Drosophila melanogaster: one gene and its partner. The protein of the gene in region 1 interacts with the protein of each later gene in a biochemical or structural test. Each region holds a gene or a part of one and is shown on either strand. Other genes may lie near its edges.

Region 1 (7,891 bases):
CGTTCGGGAATCTGGAGAGCGTTGGCCATTCCCGGAAAGGGCATCGGCTGGTACATCATGGCCGTGGCCGCGGCCGCCGCCGGGTGTGTGTAGAAAAGCGAAGGATGCGGGTACATCACGCCGGCCATGTACTGCAGCGGCATGGCCTGGGCGGCCGCGGCAGCCGCCTGCTGCGAGGTGGTGGGCATGTCCGTGCCACCCTTGTGCGGATGCTTGTGCATCCGGGGAGAGCGCGTGGGACTGGTGGGCGTCAAGGAGGCGGGGATGTAGTAGAAGGTCGGGAAGAGGCCGGCGGAGGAGAAGCTGCTCTGGGCCATGGCCGTGTGCGTGGAGTGAACGGGCGGTGTGATGCCCACCGAGAACGGTGGCCAGAGGTTTATGTTTTGCGTGCAGGTGGGATAGGACGAGGGTCCTGGCGTGGAACTGCCCACGGAGGAGGACGCTCCAGCCGCTGCTGCCGCTCCTGCTCCGCCTCCGCCTCCGGCTCCACCTGGTGTCCCCGTTCCCGAGGTCGTTGTGGCTCTGCCTTCTGGTGTGCCTGCTACGCCTGTTCCGGATCCTCCTCCGCCCGCCACACCGGCTCCTCCTGATCCCACACCGCCAGTGCCGACTGCTCCGCCCGCACTTCCTGCCGCTCCCTTGATCGCATCTGTTCCCAGGGTTAGCTGCTGCTTGGGCTTGTTGGCCTCTCCCTCCCAGGAATGGGAGCCTCCTCTTTTTATCCCGTGGCCTGGACCGCTGTACTCCAGCATCTTAAGGGTGTCATTGGCGGACTTCTTGCTCTTCTCACCCGTCCGTCCGCGCGACTCGCGGTGCTTCTTCAGCATGAACTTCTCCATCTCGTCGTTGTGCTTATTGAGCAGGGATTCGGTCAGCGTGACTGGCGGTATGGCGGCGCTTCCGCCTTTGGATGAGCTGGCGGTGCCGGTTCCGGTGCCGGAATTTGTTCCATTGCCTGTTCCAGTGCCTGTGCCTGTGCCTGTACCTGTTCCCGTTCCAGTTCCTGTCCCGGTTCCAGTTCCTGTCCCGGTTCCAGTTCCAGTTCCAGTACCTGTACCTGTACCAGTGCCCGTGCCACCAGTGCCGGCAATGCTCGTATTTGTCACACTGCTCATGTGTATGTTACTGGCGGTGGTGAAGTTGCCCGAGGAGCCACTGCCCCCGCTGCCCTCGTGGACGGGACTCATCGGACCACTGGCGCCACTGACACACGTGCCGCGCGGCTCCGGCGGCTCCGTTTTGGGCGGATCGAGCTCCGCCGGCGCCGTGACCGGCTTGCTGTTGAAAAAACGCAGCAGGTTCTCGTTATAGTTTAGCTGGTTGTAGCTGGGCGGCGTCTCGGTGGAACTCTTACTGTCATAGTAGTCGTGGTGCGGCGAAATCTCGCCGAGCATCACGCTGTCCCGCTCCGAGACGGTCAACTCGTTCTCGTGCGGCAGCTCCAGCTTGAGATCCGCCCGGGACACCTCGTCCATGAGCGTTTCCATGAAGCTGGCCAGCGCCTGGCAGCGGCGGGAAACCTCCTGCTTGACCGTGTCCGACGGACGGGACACCGTCTCCGCCAGGCGCTTCACGATATCCTCCTTGATTCGCGTGTTCCGGCTCTGTGCCTCCTCCGATATCTTCAGCTTACATGTGGGCGCCGCCTCGAAGACGTTGCACTGCTTGGGTCCTGGAAGGTGAAATGACCTGTTTAGAGGATCATTGGATCACTGGGTCGGCACGCGAACTCACCCTGAAAGACGCGATGGTGTCCGACGACAAATTCCAGCTTGCGGGACCATGGATTGACGAAGCTGGTCCATTCGGTCTCCAGAAGGACGTAGCAACCGTTCTGGATGAGGAAGCGGTATGGCTTGCTGCAGAAGGAGGCGCCCGCCGTCTGACCCTTCTTCATTACCGTCTCGTAGGTCTCCTTCATGACTGAGAGGTCCTCGTGGTGGTAGAAGTCCATGATGCTGCGGCCAATCAGGTCCTGCGGCAGATAGCCCAGTGCACTGACCGCCGCGCTGTCCACGTGCGATATGATCCCGGTGGCCGTGTGGCGTATGGCGAACTTGGGGCTCTTCTGTGAGAGAATCTCGTCGGGAACTGGGGGGGGCAGAGATCGATGGTTAGATGGCTGGATGAAACCAAAACGGGCACAGATACTCACCCTTGTAGCTGCTCTTGATCGGAGTGGCGCAGATGACGAGCAGCATGTTGGTGCCATTGGAGACCATGTAGTTGTCCGGTCGCGCCTCCTCCGGAGCCTCCCTGAAGGTGAGCCCCAGGCGGAAGGGTTCGTAGCTGACGGGCCTGCCGATGACGCCGAATCCGCCGGACTTGAGTCCCCGGTAGCGACGCAGCATCACGCAGAAGGTGCTCTTGGCGTCCTTGGGCACGCTGCCCCTGGATTCCGCAATGGGTATGCCCGTGGTGATCTGACTGGCGAAGGTGGCGCGGTCCTTAAGGTGCACAAAATCGATGAAGGACCTGCCCAGCCACATGTCGCGCGGGTAGCCCAGGACATCGGTGATGCTGGGCGTCGTGTACAGGACGATGCCGTCGTGCATGGAGATGACGCAGCAGAAGCTGTCCTCCTTCACCCGCTCCCCGCGCTGCCCTGTGCCCGCCGCCGCTGCGCCCACCCCGGTCATGGACTCCAGCTTGCCCGGACCTGCCTCCCAGGTCTTGTCGAACTTGGCCAGCCCGCTGTCCAGACCGGCTGCGTGGCCCACTCCGCCGCAGCCGCCCATCGAGGGCGGGACAATGGTGACGGATAGCGGCGAGGGAATCGGAAAGCTCTGTGCCGCCTCCGACTTGGCCACGCCCTCGACTCGGTCCGCCTCCGACTCGGAGCCGGACTGATCCTCCTCCTCCTCCTGCTGCAGCTGCTCTATGGCCTGCGGCTCGCTGTGATCCTCGCCGTGCTGTTGATCCTGCAGCTCTCGGCAGATCTGCTGTTCTACGCACCCAGTGCCGCTGGGCCGCGGCTTCTCCTCGTCCCTGCCCTCTAGGCTCGTCGACGCCGAGATCAGGGTCTGCGCCTGCCCCGCCCCCTGGCCGGCGCCCTTGTTCTTCTTCTTCTTGCGCGACTTATCCTTGTTGCGCTTGATGATCATGTCGCTGCTGCTGGCCTGCGTCGAGGGCTTGCCCCCATAGCCACTGCTGCCGGAGGAGTGGCTGCCGCTCAGGCGGGATTTGGAGCTGCCACTGGAAAGGGGATGGATCGTTTAGACTACTCGCATGATTGAGCACATCAAATGGACTCACCTGCGCTGCGACTGGCTGTTGCTGCAGCTGTTCGAGTAGGCCGAGTCGGACACCTTGGTGTTGTGTGTGGACTCCGTGGACTCGCCGCCCTCCATGGTGCTTAGGTTCTCCAGCTTGCCCAGTTGGTTGACTAGTGCGAGATTCTGGAAAATCGTATGATGACCATTAGCACTTCAGTTATCCTTGATAGGACCTTGAATGGGGGTAACTAAATAACTAACTAACTGATTTCACTTCTATGATGAACCTATGTATCTATGTTTGTCCTTCCTTCGAGGAGATTCCGTGACTACTGAGTATCCGTTGAATGAATGACCAACCACTACAATGCGGATTCTATTTGCACCGGATTCATTCAGAGCAGCGCTGTTGCATCAACGTGAGTCGATTGCGTTGTGAGTAGTTTCACTTCGGCCGGGTGATGAAATGAATCACGAAATCTGTTGCGGCACCGGGCTGCGACGCGCAAACCCCCCCGATTCTCTAGAATCCAATTCAAATTCCGAATGTTGCTTCGTTACCGTCTTCACGTTGCTCGCCAATAGTATTGTGCCGCCCAGCTAACCACCAACGCTTTCTAGGATCTTCTAGGCCAAGCGAATGGATGATGGGGGGGAAACCAGGCGTTGCACGTGTTCCGACTGCCTGCCATTCATGTTCATGAATCATGGCTTGGATAACTTCTAGTCCTAATTGGCTGGAGCATTGTTGTGAAATTGTCACCTTGACTTGCACCTGCATGGTGGCCATTGATTGAATCGTATACTCTCTGCCCGGCCCAGACTCAGAACGATAGATAGAGAACAATGTCGCCCACACGGTGGTTGCCTGCAACGAGGCTTCACTGTGCTAATTAACAGCGCAGCGGGAGCGAGAGCGAGACGGCGCGACGCTGCATTCACGTGCAGTGCGATGTGCTTTTGCTCTCGCGTTGCCTCTGCCGCTCCGCCAACGGATGTCGTTATGCAGTCGCAATGCATCCCGGCTCCAGATTCGCAGATACGTACTTAGATACTTAGATACGTGTAGTGTGTAGTTCAGAACCATGTACCCTGTACCTCAGTAGAAGACACATTCTTTTCAGCAATTTTGCAATTACAAAAAAAGAACGCAGCGAAGAACTCATATTTCTCACAATGCACCACTATGTCGTAATCGGTGCATATAGCAAGCATTCAATTCGGCAAGGAGTTCGGTTTCAGCGATTGCATAAGACCCAGGTTCATTCTCTCCGATTTGGCTGAATCAACTAAACCCAAAAATACTACACAGACACACAGGCATTAGGGTGGACCCCATTCCAGGCTCTTCAGAGTTTCCATTAAAAGCAAAGATAACCAAATGGGCCAAGTAAACAAGCTGATAGTTGTTTCGACGGCCCAGAATTCAAGAAGAAAGAATTCCAAAGAAGGTGAAAAATTCCATTGGATAATACCATTTTTTTGCCCAACAAACTGGCTTCCAACCGACTGCTCAATCTGCCCAAATCCTTCAGTTTATACCCACCAAGGATTGTGTAACTCGCTGGTTAACCCAGTTCGCATCCCATATGTGGGTGAACTTTGACGCAGCAAAGCAAGAAGGCCAACTGGTCGAATCGAATCCGCCGCGATGCCTCTGGATTGCTGGATTACATTGGTCGTGCGTCATTCCGAGGATGTTAGATAATGCAGCACAGGAAGCGCGACAGACATGGATAACAGTCGCATAACCCGGGGGCAAGACATACTGGGAAAGACTGTGGGAAAATTCGGGGCACGAATGGGAACGTTGAGCTATTAATGGTGGTACTCTGTTTAGCTTGTGTAACGCGACTGCGACTGCGGCTATCCAAATCGTAGGGGTTTTAATAGACATTCCAAATTTGCCAGAAATTACTGCGCCCACGTGGCGTGTGTGCAGCAAATAAGCTGAAAATACCAAGGTGCAATGCCCAAAAGGGAACACGCTGCGTATGCGCAATATGCTCTGACCCAGATTGGATGCCGGGCATCGATTAGAGCTATGTAGCTACATATATGAATGAGTTCACTTCACGTAGGCGCAGTGTGCTGCAGTACTGCACTCCAGGTGACCGGAAGGCAAGCGGCTGCAGTGGTGCACCACGTTGCGTATGCGTATTCTGCGGCCAGAGTATGTTTGTTTGGCACTGCAAGGAAGGAAGTGGTGGGGCATTCCCGGAGCATTGTTCGGTAGGGTCAGGTATTTTGATGTGGGCTTTTGTTTACGCTTTGCTCGGTGTGCAACGTGCACTTATTAATAAACACTATATGTACATATGTGTAAGTGCGCCATTGGACGTTATGAACCGAGTTATTTATGTAAGCTGCCTGCCCAATGCGTTGTTTTGTATTGGCAATATGATAATGGTCTATCTAGCGCCTCTTGCTGAGATTTTTCTTTGCAGCTTTATTGCAACAACGTGACAATTGCACTTACACACTCGCTCTCGCTCTCACCCAGCTGCACTTTTTTGCGATTAGGCTGCGATTAGGCTGCTGCTGCCTTCTGTTTGGAATCTCACTTATGGTCTCACTTTTTGGCTGTGGCTATATGTCACTCAGCTCGATACACTTGACACTAACACTGGCACCAAAGAATAACGGTTTGTTTCTGGTCGAAATTAAAAAAAAAAAAACGAAGCTGTTTGTTTGCGTGATTCGACAGGTCGTTGTTGCGATTTATTTGGTATATGGCAATACTTTCTACTGTGCGACGAACGCGTTGTCGACCTTCTGGCTCTAAATTCGCACGAACACTAGTGCTCGCATCGCAAGCTCCGGTGTATAAGCCCCCGTGCACTCGCATTCCCAGAATTTTCTCACACTCACTCGCTGCTCTCCGCCGTCGCTGAGAATCGCTGGGAATCGCAGTCGCTCGGGAAATCGCTGGTCGGCTGAGATACTCGGACCCAAACATTAACCCTTGGGCGAAGCTTTTGCGCGAACAACAAAAGCAAGTAATTGGAATGCCAAAGACTCCCTTTTCCATAGCAAGAAACCCCATTTATAGATTGCTATAATGTTGGATATCTTTCTTTTTCATAGCTTCTATTGAATACTAGTTTCTTTTGGTTTTTATCTATGCTGTGGGATACGTTACATGGCACTGCCGATGCCAAGTGTCAATCCAAGCCCCACGCACCAACTGCAGGTTAAGGAAAGCTATGGAATCCCCTGCCTTTTTGGGGCTGCCTGGTGGGCGGCTGGCAGCACGTTTTCCGAGGGGTGTTTTCCGGGGAGCCGGCTGGGCGGCGGATTTGCTGGCCAAGTCACGCAGTTCGCCACGTGAGCGGCGGCTTTTCACTGCCTACGGCTTTCTCGGACGCTTTTTGCACTCGGACCCGTCCCTGCCCCACCATGAATTGTGCGAACTCGCACTGGCACTGGCATTTCGCAACGGCATTACTCACCCACCCACCTGGTCATCGTCCAAGTGCGGCCAGCAGTGCACCAGAGCGCCAGTCCGCAGTCAACGCAGTGCATCGGTCTAGCAGCTCGGCTCTCTAGCACGGATGAAAAGTTGAAAGTGGCGCCAAGCTTTTGGGGGCTTCTGTTTCCCGTTTGTCCCGTGGAAGCTCTACCTGGGCAGGTGTGCGCGGCGTGCGCTGAAACACGTACGGAGTGGGATGATAGCGACAGCTGATTTTCCCTGGCTTTTCCGCCTCCGCCCAGCTGGCTGTTGCGCGCTGTGGCCCACAGGTGGCGTTACACATACCTGCCAGCAGGGGATTCCCCGTCTTTCCACGAGGGGTTGATGAACTCCGAGCGGTCGAGTGGTTCGGTTCGATGCTGATACTACTGCTATGCAGTTACAAATGATTATTACTTGCAATTTCTGTGCATTGAATTTGGCTTTTAGTCTTCGCAATTGAAGGGTTAAAAGTTGAGGCATCTGATAAATAGGAAATGATTTTAGCTACCCCCTCATAAAAGCATATTTTTATGGACCCCACAACTTCTTTTTTTTTCGGAGCATTTTTTATTATCCTAATCCGATCGAAGTGCCCAAGGATGTCTTTATGCCTTATCAGCCGTCCCATCGGCCTGCGGTGGCTTTGAATAATTGAATTCTATTAATTGGCGGCTTTGCCGACGTCGAGTGGGTGTGAAAATCCATTTGACCCGGCACCCACTCCACACGCAGCTCCTTTGTGGCCACGTGTGTGGTGTTTGCCCAAGCTAGCCGGAGTTTGCTGGCATTTGCTGGGGCTCGCTCTTATCTATCGCGGCCACACACGTGCCACAAAGTCACAGACGCCTGCCCGAAAATGATAAAGTGCGTTCGAATTAGCCACCAAACTGCTGCTAATTTGATTTTGATGCTGCGACTGTTGACTTGCCGCACTTCGCCACTCCCCGTCGCGTTTTGATGTGCTGTGATTTCATTTGATTGCCGCTAATCGGATTCCGGGTGGTGATTTCGGGTGAGTGTCGGTCGGACTGTGAGCGGGATTAGAGCCGAGTTCCCAAGGCCCACCCTTTCAACGTCCAAGTGGCGTAGGTCCGAGGACCTGTGGACCCATGAATATGGATTGCGATTAGAGGATGGACGTAGCACATCAGGTGGCATTACTGGCACCACAATTCCGTCCCAGCGTTGAACTGTAAGCACAAACGGAGATACAAGCTCAAGT
Region 2 (4,824 bases), on another chromosome or scaffold:
CTTGGCATTCTCCAGCAGCGGTATCAGGTCTGACCTCACATTCTGGCCAAATCCAATGGCCCGTCGAAAGGTGCGCAGTGTTTGGTCCTCATAGGTGAGCTTGTAGTTGATCTCCTCCAGAATGGCTGGGGATTGAAAATAAGTTAAATACCTAATTAATGTAGTAGTCCTATATTGATTACTCACCCAATGCATTCGGGTTGACCACATAGGTATCGCCCTCCAAGCAACCCAAGGAGGAGAACGCGCTGTACAACTGCGGAGTTGCTAGTAACCAGTCCATAACCGATTTCACTTTATCAAAGTTCTGATTATTCCAGATGTGATTGTGGAGCTGCCTAACTCTGCTCATTGTCGACTGCGAACATTGAGGTACTTCTTAGCCATTTGCGCGGTATCTGTAACTATAAGTAAACAAAAATGTATATTTAATTGTTATTAAAACTTAAATATTCTTAACGTGGTACCAGAGGTGAATTTAAATAATATTACACATTTAAACTGAGATGTGAAATGGTGAAAAATTTATGGCATTTTTGTAAGCTGTAACAGTCACCTTAAAATATGTTAAGGTCACTAACCCATCGTCTTCCAGGGCATTACGCAACCACAAATGATTCCCATAAATATTTGCACTCGCAAACAAAATCGCCACCCATGTGACCATCAAGGGCGCAGTCCATGCAATGTGCTGCAATTGCAGCCGCTCGGGGATGAAACCCGAATCAACTCCCATTCCACATCACCTCACACACGTGTCCGCACAGCACGTCTCCCATTTACCACCCGTTGCGAGTCGAATCAAGGAAACTGCCTACCAGACGAGCCCCGAAAGTTCCCAGAAGCCACACTTGCCAGTCCGGAAAGTGAAAAAGTGGGCTGGATTGGCAAACACCACCACCCCCCCCCCCCACACAGGGGGGAGCCCAACCTTCAGCCATCACGTAACGAGGCAAATCCTCAACAGGCGACTGCGGCACCCGGTGGCCGCATGTGACTCACTTGCAGACATCCGGGCTGATTGTGTAAACAACACAGTTGGAGGACAAAGCCACTGGGTTCGCAAACGGACTACGGACTACGGGACTCCGGAGGAACAAAGCCTGCAGTCGGAAAAGCCGACCACCCGTAGCGATATTTATAGGACATGAATCGGGATGCAGGATTTGGCATTTGTGCGGCTTCCAGCCTGCTGACTTTGAATGTTTCGTGCTATATTTGGCCATTAAAGCGAATGCAGTTTAGTTGCATTGGTTTTCGTTGCCCTCTTTTGGGCGAACACGTTAAATGGCACGCTAAATGGCCAAGAGCGGAAAATAAACAGCGCAAACAGTTGAGAAAATTTTAAAATTACAAAGCCATTTATGGCCTAGCTGATTTACTATAAAATTGTTTTAAAATGTAATAATGCTCAATAGGAAATTATATCTAAGAAGGGAGATTTAATTGTGTGTAAATTGAGGGACAATAAATTATGGACATTTTATAGAAAATATTAAAAAATATAATTAATAAGAAAACAGTGATATCTAAGAGAAAAAAAATAAAAATACTTTTCTTTTAAATTTTACTTAGATATTTCTACTGAAACTAATATCGAATTTTGTTGGTCGAGCATAATTTTTGCACCATCCGAAATCATAGATCATCTGAGCATCTTTGTATCTGTGAAACGTTTCTAGCAACCCCAATACCATTTCCGCTGACTGGTTATGAAATCAAAGACCCAACTTACATAAAACGCAAGGCGAGAACTACAAAATGATATGCGCATTGAAATTTCGAGCTGAGTATCTACTTTTCTTGGAGAGTGAAAACAATTTTCATTCTTTCGCAAAGGGGAAATTCATTGAAGCGAGGTTGAATTTGCATTTGAAACGGAAAGCAAAGATAGATCACGAATAAATATTTAAGATTTGAATTTGCAATGCAAATACATCTGAGGGTCGTTAAAATCCTAGCTAAACGAGCAGAAACCACTGAACATCTGTGTGCCAGGATGAAATCTGTCAGTTTCAGGACGATTCCCGTACTTATTTCGCTATCCTGTTTCTGACAGGAATTCCGTGGAAGGCCAAGCCTCCTTTTTTGACAGTTCACTGCGTGCTTTTTACATAAGAATTGTAACGGAGAATTGTTGTGCTTCGTAAATTGCCCCTTTAACTTGTTTTCATTTTCCCAGTATTATGTGATTTCGTTTTCATGTGGAAATGGGTTTTCTTTCTGTGCAAGCTTTAATTGCTTGAATATGTCGCCGCTTAAAGCTACTTTTTAGAAAGCTTTGTTAAAGTGTAATTTTGTCAGGGGTCAACTGATAACGAACTGTGTTAGGTCAGGTCTAAGCTATGTAATGTTAAATATACTAGTGGTTTATATTTCTTACCAATTATTTAAATTTTTTCTATCGCAGACAATTTTACTGTTTTAGTTTTAGCCGAATTGCAATCAACAATTAAAGCTGATTGTTTATGTTTCTAAGCAATTGAGCTTTTCTGAGCACTTTTTGGGTTTCTTTGCAGAATAGATCGTGTTATAGTTTCAGTGCTGTTATATACACTGATGAAATTATTTTTGTTTTATATCTGAAAGTAGTTTTAAGAATATTTGTTAGGGTAAATTCAGTTTTTTTGGTAATATTAAGATTTTAACCACTCATGAAAAATTTGTTAAGGATTTGCAATTTTATTTAACACTTTGTGAACTTTGCTTTGTTAACACTGCACAAAAAATTCTTTATACTCGTTGTTGGCTTATGTAAAATGCAACTTCAATAGCAATTAATTTGCACTTTTTTCGATTGCAATCTAGGCTAAACACTGAGAGAAAGACCAGTGAGTCATGTAAGCACTCTCTTTAAGATTATTGATATGTGAATTAATAAATATTATTGCATGAATTCACAAAAGTATTCAAGATTATTTTAGCAAAATATCTTTATTAAATTTTCTTTATTTAAGAGATATTTATTTTCGAAACTTCTATTTTGTTGATAAACTTCGAACCGCTCAACGAACCGCTTACTTGGAACGCACAATGCTGAATGCGATCTGAGTTACGGCTAGCTCACCGAAGTCAGATACAAAATGCATCTCACAGATACACACACTGACCGAAACACCCACTCACACAGGGCCAACGTGCCGCTGCCGGCGTTTGTGCGAACGAAAGACGCTAGCCGAAAGCTCTCGCCGCGCTGCTCCGTCCCGCTCGCACTCAATGCCGGACGGCCGGGGAAATCGGCTCACGTGTAATCACAACGTGCCGCACGTTTATTTGCCAACCGCCACTACGATGTTCGATAACATGAATAACCAGCGCCGGAAAATACGGAGAACAGTCTGGGAACAACAGCAATAGTCAGAACGTTTCTGTGCACTCAAAAAAAAAAAGTGTGTCACTTTACCAAATGGTATCTTCAATAACGAGACTTCACTTTACTTTAATACTTTACTTTACTTTATTTAATAAATGTATATATTTAGTGTGCAAAATAATTAATATAAATGATTTCAAAACTACGTTTTTTTTTGATTATACAACACTCACGTTTATATGTATATAATATATTCAATGACATATTTTGTTACATACATAAATATTATATTATTTTGTCTGCTGCTGTACTGTATTCCTCACAGACGTTTCACATTAAAACCAATATTTTTTTCAGTGTAAAGTTAAACGTTTTTGACGCCGCCTTCGAACGACTCTGCCGTAGGCTTCGTCAGGGTGACATTGTTCGGCTCTGAGTGCCTCAGATGATCCGTTGAATAATCCTTTTGGGAACGGAATCAACAGTTGGTTGCAGGCGCGGGCACACGCGGCGTATACGCACCGGGCTCATTGAATGCGTATACTGTGGGGAGCGTATATATTTACTTTGAGTGTTTCCACGGTGGCGCGAGCTGCAGCACGTCGGCACCGAATCGCGGTGGTAAATCGACTGGAAACGGAGGTTTAGGAAAATACTTTTGCTCGGACTGGGGCGATAGAAATAAATAACTGACACTCTCATTTTACGAAGTCACTCACTCACAATAGGCGATTTGACGTCAAAATGTTATTCAACCCAGACTATCAAATTCTATTATTTCAATAAGAAGATTAGTTGTCACAAAAAAAAGAAACAAATTAATAATGCTGTTAATTAGATGGTTAGACTTTTGTAAAAGGTGACAATCTAACTATATTTTTAATATAAAGGAGCAGATTTTGATTGAATACATTTCAACTATGAATTAATTTTTTTATTTTTTGCAAATAATATTTAAGTTATATATCCATTGCTGCAAAGTGAATGGAGAAAAACGAAAGTGCCAATGTAAGAACATAGCATTGATTAGACCACTTCAGCCGATCCGCCCAAAGTTTCCACTCAACGTAAGTTGTGCGATCACTTCGCCAATGCCAAGGCTATGCAAGTACATACATCTGAATTATGCAACGCCTGATGTTAATTTCTGTAAGCTAATTTATCACTAAGCAAACACAACAATGGCGGAGTCCGTTCAGCGGCAAAGTAAGCCACGCCAATGCACAAAAACTTGTCCCTACGTATACGTAATGCAAGTAATTGCGTATACGCCGCATGTAACACATGAACGGTGGACAGTCACGATGAAAGTTGGCTGATAAGCCTCCCAATCAAAAGCAAAACAATTAGATGCGATGCCCACTCCATCCCTCACAAACGGCCAAGGACTCGTGCAGCCCGACACATCCTCTTAACGTGGCCAAGTAGACTCATTTCCAACAACGCGACATGCGCCGGCGAAGTGTGCGATATCCTGGAGGGTCGCGTGTTTGAAATGCTGGCTGCGTGCT

The links. The genes of interacting proteins can lie anywhere in the genome.
Region 2: the proteins of per (region 1) and tim form a complex in vitro, tested with the Drosophila melanogaster proteins (one study listed by BioGRID).

Annotation. Positions count from the first base shown.
Region 1 is NC_004354.4:2,683,704-2,691,594, reverse strand, and holds the start of per (period), read right to left. Parts: upstream 6,016-7,891; 5' UTR 5,695-6,015; intron 3,399-5,694; 5' UTR 3,351-3,398; coding exon 3,256-3,350; intron 3,196-3,255; coding exon 2,156-3,195; intron 2,092-2,155; coding exon 1,735-2,091; intron 1,673-1,734; coding exon 1-1,672. UniProt on the Drosophila melanogaster protein: Essential for biological clock functions. Determines the period length of circadian and ultradian rhythms; an increase in PER dosage leads to shortened circadian rhythms and a decrease leads to lengthened circadian rhythms.
Region 2 is NT_033779.5:3,504,175-3,508,998, forward strand, and holds the start of tim (timeless), read right to left. Parts: upstream 3,045-4,824; 5' UTR 3,022-3,044; exon of another isoform or gene 3,015-3,021; intron 2,583-3,014; 5' UTR 2,384-2,582; intron 405-2,383; 5' UTR 353-404; coding exon 187-352; intron 126-186; coding exon 1-125. UniProt on the Drosophila melanogaster protein: Required for the production of circadian rhythms. The biological cycle depends on the rhythmic formation and nuclear localization of the TIM-PER complex. Light induces the degradation of TIM, which promotes elimination of PER.